Canis lupus familiaris: one gene and its partner. The protein of the gene in region 1 interacts with the protein of each later gene in a pairwise test. Links are inferred from orthologs where the notes say so. Each region holds a gene or a part of one and is shown in the gene's direction. Other genes may lie near its edges.

Region 1 (7,759 bases):
ATTAAAGAGAAAATGCTTTTGACCACTGCTCTCATTCTACTCCTCACTGCTTGGGCCTGTTTCTACTCCTAGTGGTGGCCATTATCCTGAGTTTGGTACATATTCTTCCAATTCATTTTTTAAAAGTCTGTCCTCTCCATCTCTCTCTCTCTCTCCCTCTCTCTCTCTCTCTCTCTATATATATATATATACACATTTTTAAAAGACTTTTAATTATATGTTATATAGAGGTTAATAATTCCATTGTGATGCTTGCAACAAAAATCCCTATGTGCATTATTAAGCAGAACAAAAACTAATTATATCACTTCTATCCTTTCCATCAATATTCATATCATATAAATAAACCATAGCGTAATGGGAGATCTGAATCCCAATAATTGACTCTAATAGCCATCCTAATAATTCATTCCATGCCCTGAAGATAATACCATATTGTATTTCAGAAGGCTATTTTAATTTCAGGGAAGGTAAACAGGATTGATTTCAAGGGGCTTCAGATTAAGCCAGGGACCAAAGCACTCAATTTGATTATAGATTTGATAATTAATTAACTCATTCTTAAACTCCAAAAGGGATACCTAATTACTGTATAATTGGAGTAGATGATTAAATCAGCCATTAAAATAACAGAACTTTGTGAATTAACTCAAATATTTAATAGGCACTGTCCTGATATTTGGTTGAGTATGAGAAAATATTTCTGATCAGGTAGTTTTGGAAGAGGTCTTTGGACACTGCCCAGCAATCAGGGTGACTGATCAGGTTTAACAGGTTTCCTGGCTGCCTTACAAAAACCAGGTGGCCATTTCTTGCCCAATGTCTTGATTTTTTTCTGGAAAGAAATGATTTCTTTTAGGGCGCCTGGGGGGTTCAGTTGGTTAAGCATCTGCCTTCAGCTCAGGTCATGATCCCAGGGTCCTGGGATGGAGTCCCACATTGTTGTCTGTTGTCATCTGGCTCCCTCCTTGCCGTCCACTGCTTCTCCCTTTGCCCCTCTCCCCTGCTTGTTCTCTCTCTCTCAAATAAGTAACATCTTTTAAAAAAAGAAATGATTTCTCTATATACAAAATACCTGGCAACAGCACATATCATTCATGCTTTGTCATAGCTGAATCTGAATTGTCTCATGTTTCCTGGCACTTTATCTTTGAAGATTAAGCTATAACCTCAGGTAATCTCAGGGCAAAGGCCTTTCGGTTAATCTCTTGCTGATTTTCCTGACAGTTGATCTGCAAGTCCTAAACTATTTCATGAAAAACTAGGGAAAGGATTGGATAATAAGACACCATACCAAAATTATTTTTGAATTTTCAAAATTCCAATTCACTCTAATTTAAAAATACTGTGCTGCCTTTTTTGGGTCATTCTGCCACTAAATCACCCATCCTAAAAATATTATGTCACCTTTTTTTTTTTTTTTTTTTTTGAGAAAGCAGAGCTATGATTTTTTTTTTCAAAGTTTTAGTTAGAATTTAGTAGGCGCACCAGGCAGATACTGGTTGCAGCAACTACCTTTATTCCAGTCCCCTCCCCCACTGTCAGAGAGACCCCCTTCAGTAAATGGAGTTGGACATTTGCAAGTGAGTATTGAGCAGAAGCACCGTGCTGGTGTAGTAACCACAGTAGGGGCTTGTTAGTGAGAAAAACCAAGCTATGCAGTGGGTCTAATTCAGTTTGGATTTATTTTGGATGCTTACTGATCAGTGTAAAAGAACTATGCCCGTTTTAGTTTAAATTTAGCATTCACAACCCCTTTTTTCCTGACCTGTGATCTGAATCTTGAAAAAAAGAACACCTATTGTGTGTCAAATTGTATATTTGGTGCTTTGTATCTTCCTGGAGAGTAAGTATGGTATCATTCCCGTTCTTTAGATGGGAGTTGGAAGAGGTCAGGAGACTTGACCAAAGACTAACCAGCAACTGGGGCCTGGGGAGAGCCGTTCTGATGTGTGCCGGGCCTGCCACACCTCTCGTGGTCAGGGTCTAACCCGGAGCCGGGTTTAAACCGTGCAGAGCGCAGTGAAGTGGGACAGATGCTGGGCTTCATTCCGGCCAGCTCTGCTGCCCGGCGGCTGGGGGGCCTCCGTCCGGCGTTCAGCCCGCAGCGGCGGCCTCTCCAAGGTCAAGGTGCTGCCCCCGCAGAGCGGCCCACGTGCCGCAGGATGCGCCCCCCTTCGGACCACCTCCCGAGCCGCGCCGCTGCAGGAGGCCGCCGGGCCCGGGCGCCGTCCGCCGACTGCCCCGCCCTCCTTTGCTCTGCAGGCGTTAACGCACCGGGCTGGCCTGTTCGGTCCCCGCCAGCTTTCCAAGGCGCAAGCCGCGTCCCCCGAGCTGGCCCCTGCGGGCAGCTGATTTCCCACGGGGTGAGAACTGGGTTAAACTGGTGTTTACTGCCCACCACGCCCCGCCCTCCCTTGGGGGCCCGCGAGGGTCGGCCCACGGCAGCGCTCCACGCGCGGTCGCCAGGGACGCCGCAGCCCCAAGGCCGGCTGCTCCCGCCCACCCCGATCGCGCGTGTCCAGGGGTGGGGCGCAGGAGGGGTGCAGCAGCGAGTGGGGCGCACCCTCGCGGCTCCCAGCCCCCCCCCTCCCCCGCCGCCCCGGGCATCCTCGCGGGGAGGGCTCGGCGCGGCAGCCGCCCCACCTCCCGCCCGGGGCTGCGGACCCCGCCCGCCCCGCCCTCCGCGCCCGCAGGTGCAGCCGCCGCGGCCGCCGAGTAGGTGCGTGGGGATGATCTCACTCGCGCGCTCGGCGCCAGGAGGAGGAGGAGGAGGAGGAGGAGGAGCGGGAGCAGACCCGACTTCCGGGTAGTGCCGCCGCCGCACGCCACCCGCGGCTTGCTTTTCCTCCCCCTCCCCCCCGCTGCACCCCTCGCCTCTCCCTCCTTGCCTTTATTCCCGGCCCCACCTGCCGACATGAACAGCTCGGACGAGGAGAAGCAGCTGCAGCTCATCACCAGCCTGAAGGAGCAAGGTAGGGGCGCGCGGCCGCCAGGTGCGGGCGGGGACGGCTCCGGGCGCGGGGCCGGGGCTGCGGCGGGCGCGCTGGGAGGTGTCGGGGCCCCGGCGCTGCAGCGCCCTCCGCGCCCGCGCGCCTCGCGGAGCCGGGGCCGGGGCCCGGGCCGGGGTCAGGCAGGGGGCGGGGGCTGTGGGGCCGGCTGGCGCGGGCTGCTTGAGCGGGGGTGGGGGAAGGGGCCCGGACTGGGGGCGGCCGGGGCCCGGGCCCCTTCTCGCCCGCCCCCGCCGGGCCCCACCCCTGCACACGGGCGCGGGGAGGCCTGCGCGCTGCCTCGCACCAGCCTTCCCGGCTTTCGCTCGGCGTCGGTCTGGTTCCTCTTTCCTTCCCCAGCCACGATGCCAGGCCGTGCTGTGTTTTACCACCTACCATTTTTAGCAGTTTCTTAGTCAGTAGCCAACACCCTGGCTGTGCCCGGCTTCCTGAATTCAGATCCGGCCTGGCCTGCCGGGGAGCCGCCCGCGCGTCCTCGCGTCTCTACCCCCGCCAGGTAACCGCGGGGCACCTCCTCCCGGATCCCTCGCCTACGTCTCCTCCTGCGCTTCTTTCTCAACAAAGCCCCATTGGCGATCGAATGTGACTTCGACACTCTTCACTTTTCAAAATGCCTGTCCTTACCCAGGCCCACGGTGGCCCGAGAATATGGGTCAAGGGAGAGAGAGAGGAACTGCGTAGATTTAGGAAATAAAAATGCGTAGGAACATGCACTTTTGCCGAATCACTACTTGCTGACACGGCCACCTCGTGGAGGAGGTCCTGCTCTGTGGCCAATCCTGCTGTTTTCTGGCTCTTTTGCTTCTGTTGGCTCAACTTATCGACTCTGTGAACCTCGAAGAAACTCTGCCCCTCCAGGGGCCTTGTGGTTATCATGCCTTCCTTACCCGACTAAAGACATGGGCTAAGCCATACGATTTTATCAGGTCCTGTCCAGTGCTATGACCTGTTGCTCCTTGAAACCACAAACATACCGATTGCACGAGGTATGTAGACCTCTCTGGAGTTGACACTCTTGGAAACAAATCTCAGCACGATTGTTTACCAACCCTGTTATCTTGGGGAAATCGTTACCTCCCTGAAATGGACAGAACGGGACTCTTCGTAATATCTAGTATTTAGAAAGTGTTGGATAAATGTTCATGGGTTTTGCCTTCTCAGTACCTTCAACAACCGTCCTGGACTAAGCCTTAGGGTCATAAAGTCCCAAGCATCAGTGAATTTAGTGGGTTTGCAAAATGCCCTTAGCGAGCATTCCTCAAGCGGTTTAGTGAGGGGCTGGATTCAGTCCGTATCTTATTTCCAATAGCACTCTTCCCCCAGTAACATAAAGATTCTTACTTCATATTCTAGATGGTTGGAGCTTTCATCATGGGTGATAGCTGCCGGTGGATACCAGAGTTTTTGATGGATGGTCCGTTTTCAAGTAGTGATACAGTTAAAAATTTCACGTTTTTTTTTTTTTCTGAATATAATCATTCCAAGGGTAGGTTTATCAAAGCACTTGTGGTTTATAATCCACAAGTTGTTTATACTTGATTTTGAAACACATCCTCTGTTTCTATGTTGGATTTGAGAGCTGAGAAAAAAAGGAAGATTCTAAAGTTTTTGGTTCTTTCTCATATTATACGGGAACACAAATCCATGGTATTGGTATTTTTAGAGGATATACTTCCTTGATTATGGGCATGTCAAAGGCAATAGAATGGGTAGACTTGGAAATTTGTGTTTCTTAAAAGGTGCACTTTTTTGGGGGGGTGCTGAGTCTAGTTACACAGGTTTTGGGATTATTTTCAGCCCATTCTCAAAACCAGGCATTTCTTTGTCATTGGATCATAGACCGTGATAACAACTGGCTCATTTCAAGAGCATTTAATAGCTGTTTGACCCATGGAACTAACTGGAAAACTAGGGATTTGAGGTGGAAAGACAGGCCGCTAGGTGTTTGGGCTGTTACCAGTATGATAATTAATTTTGTAAGCTGACAGTGTGCCTGATTTATTTTTGAAAATAGACATTTTTTAAAAAAATACCTGTTAACATTGTGACTGACTCTACCGCTCTTGTTTAATGTAGACAAGAAGAACCAATTATGATGAACACTTTACTTTCCTTTTTTGATACCCCTTCAACACACTCATTTCTTCTTTTAACAAATACTTAGCAGATACCTACCATATCTGAGCCCCACGTGGTAGGTACTGGGGGTAGAGGTAGTGAACCAGATGGTCTGCTCTACCTAAGTTTATTGTCTAGTAGAGAGTCATGAATCAAATAATCACACAAATGTGTATAATCACACATTGTTTTTTTTTTTAGGATAGAGTCTTCGAAAGGGAATCATTGCATCAGAGGGCCAGTAGACATAAAGTTGTGCCAGGCATCGCCAAAGTGCCCCCCCCCCAATATGATGGTACCAGTTCACATTCCCCCCAGCAGTGCCTGTTTCCCCCTACAGTTGTCAATGTTGACCAACATCAGTCTTTACTAATTTTGGCAGTCTGACAAGTTTTGTAATTTTTACCAATCTGATGGTCAGAAATAGTACCTTTAGAAAAATTGTATTACCTGGTTCTTAGCGGGGTTTGACATCTTTATACGTGTTTATTGGCCATGGAGGTTTCCTTATTTCATTTTTTCCTCAGTGATTTTTAAGTCAAAAATTTGAACCCATTCCCGAGAGGGTGTTGAGAAAGAGGATTCCTATCTACTCTGAATGGCAGCACTGACAGCAGCCTTCCCTAATGTGAAGTCTTCATTGGTGTGGTGACTAAGGTTGCTTTTGACAAAAGTTGTGAAATGTAATGACGGAGTCTGTCATAATATGAACAATCTCTAATTTATACTTACCATTCCCTAAGCTCTATGTCTTATAAATCACACCCACTTCTGAATTACTTCAAAACATTGTATGTTCCCTTCTCGTGAATGGTATAATTACCTATATTATGTCTTTCTAGAAAGTTATATTATGTCCCTTTAAAAAAATTAGCCAGTGTGTGATTGCTTATGTTCAAGCAGATGTTGAGGTAATGAGGTAATTCTCTTTTTGTCCTTTTTGGAGCTTTATTTTATTGGACTGATTGACGTCTTTAATGCACTGACAAATGGCAACTTAGGGTACTATTTCCGATGCATATTTCCTAGCTACTAAAGTGGACATTTCCCTTACAAAACATCATACAATTTGCTCCCCCTCCAGAATGCGGCTGGGAAATGATCGACTTAGCTCAGCGTTTGTTTAAGGTACATGATTTTCTTTGTAGTGTATTCATCCCACAAGCATTGAATATTCATAGCCAGGCACTGTGCTAGGCATCAGAGATAGATGAATAAAACTTTGTCCCTACTGGTGAAGAGTTCCTAGTCTAGAGATGATGGTGGGCATGTGAATTCCAGGAAGAGTGTCCAGTTGGCCCAGTTTGGGTCATGGGTTTAAGTTCTTTGGTCAGGGAACAGCAGGGCACCTTGATTGGCAGCCCCCACAAAGACCAATGGATTAGAGTAGTTGTCCAAAAAAGAATGGTGTGCCACTACCAAAAGTGGAGGATGCAGGCTGAACAGACACAAACAACAGAGTCCCTTCAACTGGTCAGCATAGTAATGCTGTGTCATTTGGAAGTTGGTGAGGAAGTGTTGAAGGTAGCGATCATCACCCAACAGTGAGGATGTTAGAAAGTAAGACCAAAATTACAACCACCACCCTGAACACACTATCCTATGATAAGATCATGGGTTTTGAAGCTAGATAACCTCCTCTTATCTTTAGAGTTATCATTTTCCCCAAGACTATAGAGATTTGTGCTTCAGCTTCAGCTGGAAATTTAGCCAGGCTCATTCTTAGACCTGAGTTAGTAATTAAAAGAGGCTCCCAGTGTTCCCTTGACTGCTAGGCCAAAAAGTAGCTTGAGCATTATTTTGACAAAAGGGGCCAAATGATTGCCTACCACTGGGACCATATCAAGTCAGGAAAGTGGAAGCATTGTCAATCTTGGATATATACAAAGTCAGTAGAAAACAGTTTGGGGTTTAAATGGTTGCCATGGTGTCAAGTGCAAACTTGGCTTTACATTGTTATTTTTCCAAGTGTGGTTTAGGGGCCGCCCGTCTCAGTAATTGGGATATACATGCACTTTCTTACCTACTTATTTATGAAAAAAAGCCTGGTAAATTTAATTTTCTTCATCTGGGTATATTTTTGTAAAATCGGTATTTGAAATGTTTTGCTTTTACAACAAAGTATAACGTAAGTTGAGAAACGTGCATGAACTCTAAATGAGCATCTCAAGAAATTATTGAAAAAAATGTGTCTAACAACACTTACATCAGAACATCTCCAGAAACCCCTTCATAACCCCTCCAATCATTACTACTTGCCTTTCCCCAAAGATATTTGTGTCACCAAAGGTAAGTTTGGCCAGTTTCTGAGAGTTAGACAAATTGAATCCTACAGGATGCAGTGTTTGCTTCTGTCTTGTTTCACACGTTCTGTGTGAGATTTATCAACAGTGTTGTGTGTAGTTGTAGTTCATTTATTTGGTGAATAGTGTTCCACTATATGTACACACCAAAAAAAGTTTTTAAGTGAATATACTGTAGACCAGAGGTCAGCCGACTTTTTCTGTAACTGGCCAGATAGAAAGCATGTTAGGCTTTGTGGGACACTTGGTGTTTGTTGCAAACCAACATACTGATTAAAAATGCAATTTCCTCCTGAAGTTGTGAGCTCCTAAGAGACACCAAATGGG
Region 2 (7,582 bases), on another chromosome or scaffold:
TTGGGAGGAAAGGAGAGGAAGGGGAAGTGAGAAGGGACTGGCTCCTAGTCTCTAGCTAGTAAGTGGCTGGCTTAGGATGTAGAACTAGGCTTCTTTCCAAAGATCCTGCTTCTGAACACATCCTGCACCAGGGGAGGCTGTGGAGGGTGTGTAGAGAAGGGTTAAAAGCTTGAGTCCATGGCAGAGAGCCGCACCACCACTACTATCCAAAGAAAAAATTCTCAGTTGCAGGTACTGGGGGTGGGGTGAGGCATGGGCAGTCAGCATTCACAGACTAGGCCCTGAAGGGGCGAAGGAGGGTCTCCATGTCCCTGGGTCAGTGGAGGCTCCAGCTCAGCCTCCTTGGCCTCTACCTCCCACATCTCTCCCCGTGCCAGCAGCACATCCCCTATTTGAGATGTCCAGATGGCAGGGAGGGTCCAGGAAAGAGCCAGAGATGCTGAGTAGGCCTCCCTGCGTTCCCCCGAGCCCCGCCCATGGCCCCATGGATCATCCGGTGCAGCTGGCCCATCTCATTGGCTCTCTCATGGTTACTCAGCTCTCCTCTTCTCCATCTTCCCAGCCGGTGGTTGCCATGGAAACACAGAACAGTGACATCATCATAAGGCGAGGGCTGGGGAGATGCTGCTCTTGGCAAGGACTGGTCCTGCTGCCTGCCAGATGTTGTATCTACATCTGGATCTGCCAAGGGCAAGAGAGAGGGGCAGGAAGAGGGAAGGGCTCGAATTCTTTCCCCTTGCCCCTCATTCCCCAAGGTGGTGAGTAGAACAGGGCAAGGAGGATGCAGGTAATGAGAGGAATGAGAAGGTGTGCAGTGCACACTTGGGAGGGATAATGAAAGTCCAGTGGAAAACAGAGTGTGGCTTAGGAGTTCACTTCAGTGACCCAGATCGGGGTGTGGTGGGGGGTTGGGGGTGGCGCAGCAAGGCTAGTGGGTCTAGGCTTTGTCTCCATAGTGCTCGGCCAAGGCAGGGCCCGAGAGAGGGGGCAAAGGACTTTCCAGCAGTGTCCCCCCGCCCAATCCATCCTTTAGATTTCTGCAGCCCCTTCCTCACCACTGCAGCAGGTTCTAATCCTGTCTCAGAAGCAAGAAAACTGAGGATTAGAGAAGCCAAGCCATCTGCTGTGGGTGGCCTGGCAGGTGAAGGGCAGGGCTGAGAGCAGGTCGGAGAATCCTGCACTGTCCGAGGACAATAGGAACAATAACAGCAGTGGCAGTGAGCATGAAGTCCACCATGCTCAGCATTTTAAATGCATTATCTCATTTGATCCCCAAATACCATTAAGGAGTAAATACTGTCATTACCTACATCTGCAAGATGAAACTGAGACTCACAGTGGCTTAAGTGAATTGCCCACAACCACACAGTGAGTATCCCAGGGAATCAGAACTGGCACACAGATCTACCTGCCCACAGCTACCTGCCCCCACTCTGGCTCTCCCCATCAGCAGTGGTGGCATAAGGACCATGTAGGGTGACAGCTCTGGCCACCGGGCCTCCAGCTACTCAGTCCTTGAGAGAGGAGGCTCAGTGTCTAAATGTTGTGACCTTGACTTAGAAACCATCCCACTCTCCCCCCTACCCTCCCTTGCACCTGTTCCAGCAATGAGGTCACCAGGGCTCCATGCCCAGCCCTAAGGCCTGTCCCTGTAGCTTTGGCAGAAACAAGCCCCTGTCTTCTGGCAAGTGGACATGTCCCAAAGAAACAAGACCTTGGGCAAGAGAGGGCTCTTCCTCCCTGGCTTCCCCAGAAAGTCAGAAGTAGGGGTGGATGCTCTCCACTTCCACCTGGAGAAACAGAGGCCAGGCAGGAGGGTCCACCACACTGTACCCAAGTGGCAGAGCTGGGGAACCCTGGGGCTAGTGTGCCTGCGGCTCTGTCAAGCCTCCCCCCGCCTCCTCTGGACCTCTGCTGGCTGAGGTTCAGCTGGGCACCACTTCCTTCTGCAGGGCCTCCTATCTGTTAGGCATCCGCTTACCCCTCACTTCCTCTGGGAAGTCTCCCCTGAACTCCTAGATCAGGACAGGTCTCCCCTCAAGAGTCACATTAGTTCTGTGCCTGTGTACACAGAAGTGAGCAATGGGAGTATGTCTCATTCATAGTTGTCTCTTCAGAGCCTAACCCCAGGCCGGGCAAAAAAGTAGGCAGTTATTAATAACCAACCGCTGGATTAAGAAATGAATGGACTCCTCCAGGCTTCAGTTTGCTCATCTGTAAAACAGGGGTAATTATAAAGCCTACTTTGTTCTGAAAACATGGACTTTGTTCTGAAAGTTCAATGAGAAAATGTACTTTAAGGCTCTCAGCATGAAATAAATATCAATACAAGGTGATCTTACTATTAAAAGCGCTTTGTAAAAAAAAAAAAAAAAAGCGCTTTGTAAAGTGTCCACCGCAAGGGAGGCTGTTTGAAGGAAGTGGGTGACATTTCGTGAAACTGCAAGAGGCCTGCCTGTGTGCAGAGGTCAGGGAAGGGAAGCAGGTGGGGAACTGCCCTGGGGCCTGTAAGAGCATCTGGAGGGACAGAATTTCTGCAGGAAGGTGTGGGGGGAAATTACCTGATGAAATCCTCGGCCCCACACTCTGGTCAGAGGACCCCAAGGTGAGGGGGAGGAGCATGGCAGGGCTGAAAGGCGCGCAGGCGGCCTTCCACAGCGAGGGGCGAGCACGTGCGGGCGGGAAGGGCAGGAAGGGCAGGGCGGGATGCGTCATGCCCTCTCCTCGGGCGGGCGGAGGGCACAGGGGCAGCTCAGCCGCGCACGGTGCCCCTGCCGACTTTTCCCGCCACCGGCGAGTGGGGAGTGGCGTGGGGAGTGGTGAGACAGCCACTGCTTCCGGGGCCAGCCAGACCGGGCTTGCAGGCTGGGTTCCAATGAACCCTCGCCTCATTTCCTGTGACCTTGCAAGCTCCCCGCTGCACCTTGGACTCCTCACCTGCAACCTGAGGACCAAGATGCCTGCGCCACGGAGAGCCAGCCGAGCTGTCCCGGCGTGGGCATCAGCCCAAGGGCGTTTCCTTTCATCTCTAGTCTCCCATCTCTGCTCTGACCCCCAGCTCGGGGAGACACTGGGGGACGACGATGTCGGGGGCGCGCGCCCTAGCTCGCGGGCACTGTGCCCCCGGCTGCTTCCTTCTCGGATTGCGAGGAGCGCCTCGAGGCCAGGGAAGGGAGCAGGTCCTGCCAGCGCGGGGCAGGGACTCGGAGGCCGGGCCCCCGCGCTGACGCAGGCGAGCCAGGCGCCACTGGCTGCCCCCTCCCGCCTGGCGGGTCGGGGGATGGGCTGCCAGCTCCCGGCGGGTGAGCGCCAGCGGGAGGCTTCCTATTTCGGGAGCTGCGGGTGTGGGCCACGCCTCGCCACGTGACACCGGGGCTATTTAAGGCGGCAGCGCGGGCTGGGAACCGTGGGTCCTGGAGTCCTTGCACGCTTCTTTGTCGCCTGCTTTCTCGGCCTAGCCCAGCCTCACCATGGTGGACGCTTTCGTGGGCACCTGGAAGCTAGTGGACAGCAAGAATTTCGATGACTACATGAAGTCCATTGGTGAGCGTGACTCGGGACCCCGTGCGCGGCCCGGCGCAGCGTTCTGGCGCTGGCTAGTACCCTGCACGCCTGCTGCGTGCGCCCCTGCTGCTCACGGCTGGGGGGTAGGGGGACGCGGACCAGGCGGCAGCCTGGGTTAGGGCACGCGAGGCCGTTGGAAGGGGGGCTTTCTGGTCTGAATTCGGCCAGAGAGGGATTCCCAGGTAGGGAGGGGCAAGGCGGTAGATGTGCCTGCCGGTAGATGTTGGGGCGGGGAGGCGCTTTCGAGGAAGAGGATCTGGAGATAGATGGGTTTGTATAAGAGAGCATCCATCGCAGAAGGTGGGAGGCTAGCCGGAGGAGGAAAAAAAGAGGAGCACGGGTGGTTTTGGGATTGGAAAATGTGAATACAAAAAGGGAATGGGGTGGATGGGGAGTGTACTATGGCATAAAGAAGTGGAAACTCCTAGGAGGAGGGAGATGGAAATAGGGGAACAAGGGGTGAATGGGATATGAGGAGGCAGTGAGATAGGGGCTCCTCACGGTTAGCAACAACCCCTGCCCCTCATGTTGAACTAGAGAAAGGATGGTTGCTGGAGGATGCCCTCTCACCATCCAGTCTGTGACCTTGTGCTGCAGTGGTGTGTAACCAGGCTTTAATCACTGCCTAGTGGTAGGGCGCCGCAAGAGGACCCATCACCTGCTGGTTCAGCCACTTGTTGGGGCGGGGTCTGGTGGGGAAAACCACTGGGCTCCCAGGGTGCAGCAGGGTCTTGGAGGAAGGCCAAGATCTGCTAAAGACAGGGAGGGTCTTTGGTCTAGGAAGGTGTGGTTGTTTGGAATAAAGAATAAAGATTCAGACTCCTTAAACATGAGGTCCTTGGAGATCCCTCCTGTTTGCCTAGTTTGACAGATGGGGAGACTGAGACCCAGAGAGAGAAACTGGTCATATAAACCCCATGGCAGGGCAGATATGAAAACCTAGATTTCTAGATCTGCAGCCCAGAGTAGTTTCCACTATAGACCCTGGGGGTGGGAGTGGTAGGAACTGCTAAACTAATGATTGACCTCGGCCCTTCCCCTCCTCAAATGGGCTTAGATGAAAAAGGTGATACCCTTTCTCTTAATTCCCAGCTATGAGATTATCCTAGTGGCCCAGGCTGGGACAAGGAAACCAGAATATTGTTCATAGTTGAGCTACATTCCATGCCTTCCTACCAGGGAAGGGGGGCTGATTCTGGCAAACACCCAAATAAGGGGTTCCTAACCCTTTCCTGAAATAGGAACAAGTGTTGACTTTTGGGGTCACAGCTCTCATGCCCCCACCATAGCATGCTGGGTACTATGCCTACTGACTCCAGGAAAGTAGCCACTCTTGGAGCAGTGGGCCCTGGGCAGCTGTTGGGAAGTTGGGATGCCCCTCCTCCCAAAGCGGACATTCCAACTGAAGTCCTGTGTCCCTGAAGTGAGCTGCAACATCCTTATCACACTTGTTCCCTTATTTTGACCAAAGGGGCAAATTTGAGCTACAGGGCTGAGAATACATCCAGCCTGCTTTTCTCCATACACAGATGGAAAGGATGAGAGGTCCATGGAGGAGAAAAGATCATCCTCAGCTCTCTGTAAATAGCTTCCACTTCATTTCTAAGTAAAACCCACTCTTTCGGATCCCCCAAAATTATCAGCCCCATTTTTTGGTCTCATTTTCTCTTGACTCAGTCCCTCACTCACCCCCACAGTGGTTTCCTTTCTCAAACACACCACACCTCTGGGTAGGTCCTTAGCAAACAGAGCTCCTTGTATGGTGACAAGGCCGTCCGTACAGGGGAGTGGGATCAGCCTGACTCACTCTGATAGTTGGGGCTAAGGCCAAGTCCCTTACTGGCCAGGGCAGAAGCTGCCCTCGCCCCTCTAGTTTTAGACCAAGCTCCCTCAGGGGGCAGAGAGACCCAGCCTAGTTAGTACCAGTGATCACAGGCCCACCTGGTGGCCTCAGTGCCGGGAGGAAGCACATGCTGGAAGAATGGCCCCAGAGGAAGAATGAACAAGTTCTGGAGCCTAGATTCATACTAGGTCCATCACTCCCCCTCCTCCAAAATCAAAATCTTTGACTTTGGGCAAAATAACCTTTCTCCAAGCCTAATTTGTGAAGTGGGGAAAATAAAGCTTACTGTTCAGGGCTGTTATGTGTTCTAAGCATTAAGTGAAAGGACCCATGCGGGACATGGGCTAAGAACCTAGCTTCCAGCAAGTGCAGTGTATGTAGCCTGGCACGCCAGTTCGCCACACTGGGCTGCTTCTGCCTCACCTCTACCCTGTGACACAGCTAACCACAGCTGCTGGGGGCAGAATGGCAGGCAGTTGTGATGGGAGGTTGGAGGCAAAAGGCCAGATCACGAGGAAGCTATAACCTGAAGGGGTTAAGGCTTTGCTGTTCTTTCACTCTTGCAGGACACTGAAGGCTTTGCCCAGCAGCCAGGGAAGAGTGCTTTGTTCCGGGATGGGAGGGGGGAGTCCCCTGAGGGCCTCAGACTAGGAGCCAGGAGACCTGGATTCGAGTCCTAACTGCATAGCTCTCAGGCCTCTCCTAAAGCTGTACACGGAGACACACTTTCCCTTCTGCCTACCTCCTAAGTCCTAGAGAAGAGGACTTGGAAATATCCCGCTGCCATACATAGGGGACAAGTACACCAGTGCGTTTCAAGGCAAAAACTTCCAAAGGTGGGAAATGCTTGTCCCTCAGGTTTTGGAAGGCAAAGTCTGCATTTCTCTTTCCTTAGCCTGTGGCTGGAAAACTCGAGGGTCCGGGAAGGAGCCCTGTGCTCCATCCTTGGGAGACAGTATAGCTAAGCAGTTGCATGAGTTTCTTCAGTCAAACAGTTCTGGGTTGGAATTCCAGACCTGTGACCCTGGGCTTGAGTGTGAAGTGGAGATAACTACATCGTGCCTTCAAGGGAGAATGAAGGGCTAAATGAGGTAACACAAAGAAAGTAGCCTGCTCTAATCTCAGATCTGCCATGACTTGCTGTGGTATGCCTGTCCCTTAAACTCCTTACACCTCTCATCTGCCCAGTGAAATCAAGTGTCTCTTTGCCACACAGAGCTAACAGGAAAGCCGAATTTAAAAAAGAGCCGGAGTCTCTGGAAGTTCTCGTACTCCACATCCCTATGCCCCACATCCAAGCCTGACAGTTGTGCAGAGATCCTCAACCCTGCCTTTCTGTTCCACTCATATGCTTATCCTCTTCCCCCTGCCCTCAGGTGTGGGTTTTGCTACCAGGCAGGTGGCCAACATGACCAAGCCTACCACAGTCATCGAAATGAATGGGGACACTATCATCATAAAAACACACAGCACCTTCAAGAACACAGAGATCAGCTTCAAGTTAGGGGTGGAATTCGATGAGACAACAGCAGATGACAGGAAGGTCAAGGTGAGTCATGAAAGGGGGTGTAGAGATTGGAGACCTTAAGACTTGCCACCCTATTATTGTACCCTGAGGGGTAGGTGATTTGGGGGGATTGAAATGAACAAGGTGCATAAAGCATGTGTGGTGCTGGGATGCCCCAGCCCTGTCCTCCTGCATTGCTCCCCCCTTGAGGAGCATCTGGGGCCTTTGGGAGTGGGCAGCACAGAACCAGGATGTTCTTCTGACCTCTCAGTGTCAACTCCAGCTCCAGCCGGGTGACGTTGTGCATGGCATGCAAGAGCTCTGGGTTTCTTTCCAATCCATAGACGGGAGAGTTATGTGACCATGGCTGTGACCTCAAGTACTTTAGGAACAATGCCCAGGAGGATTCAGAGCTCTTCCCTCTGAGTGAGCAGGTCATTCTGGCCTCCAGCAGCAAAGGAGGCAGCTAGGGACAAGAGGTGGAGACTACTCAGATGCTTCCTTTTTGTCAACATCCACCTTGGAGGTCTCCTTCCAGGCTTGGCCAGGGAGCCTGAGGAATTATTTCTAATTCTGCCGGCCCGCAGGCAAGAAAAGCTATGTTCTGGAAAGAGCGTTGTCTAAGATGTGTTTCTGTGTCTTCCCACGAAGACTTAGCCCTCTCCTCC

The links.
Region 2: the proteins of SHTN1 (region 1) and FABP3 interact in binary tests that used the Homo sapiens proteins (3 or more experiments, as listed by UniProt). The two-hybrid records come from large-scale screens. The link is inferred for Canis lupus familiaris from reciprocal best matches to the Homo sapiens genes SHTN1 and FABP3.

Annotation. Positions count from the first base shown.
Region 1 is NC_049249.1:27,812,739-27,820,497, reverse strand, and holds the start of SHTN1 (shootin-1), read left to right. Parts: upstream 1-2,701; 5' UTR 2,702-2,917; coding exon 2,918-2,975; intron 2,976-3,977; exon of another isoform or gene 3,978-3,997; intron 3,998-7,759. UniProt on the Homo sapiens protein: Involved in the generation of internal asymmetric signals required for neuronal polarization and neurite outgrowth.
Region 2 is NC_049223.1:69,044,190-69,051,771, forward strand, and holds the start of FABP3 (fatty acid-binding protein, heart), read left to right. Parts: upstream 1-3,385; 5' UTR 3,386-3,470; coding exon 3,471-3,543; intron 3,544-6,783; coding exon 6,784-6,956; intron 6,957-7,582. UniProt on the Homo sapiens protein: FABPs are thought to play a role in the intracellular transport of long-chain fatty acids and their acyl-CoA esters.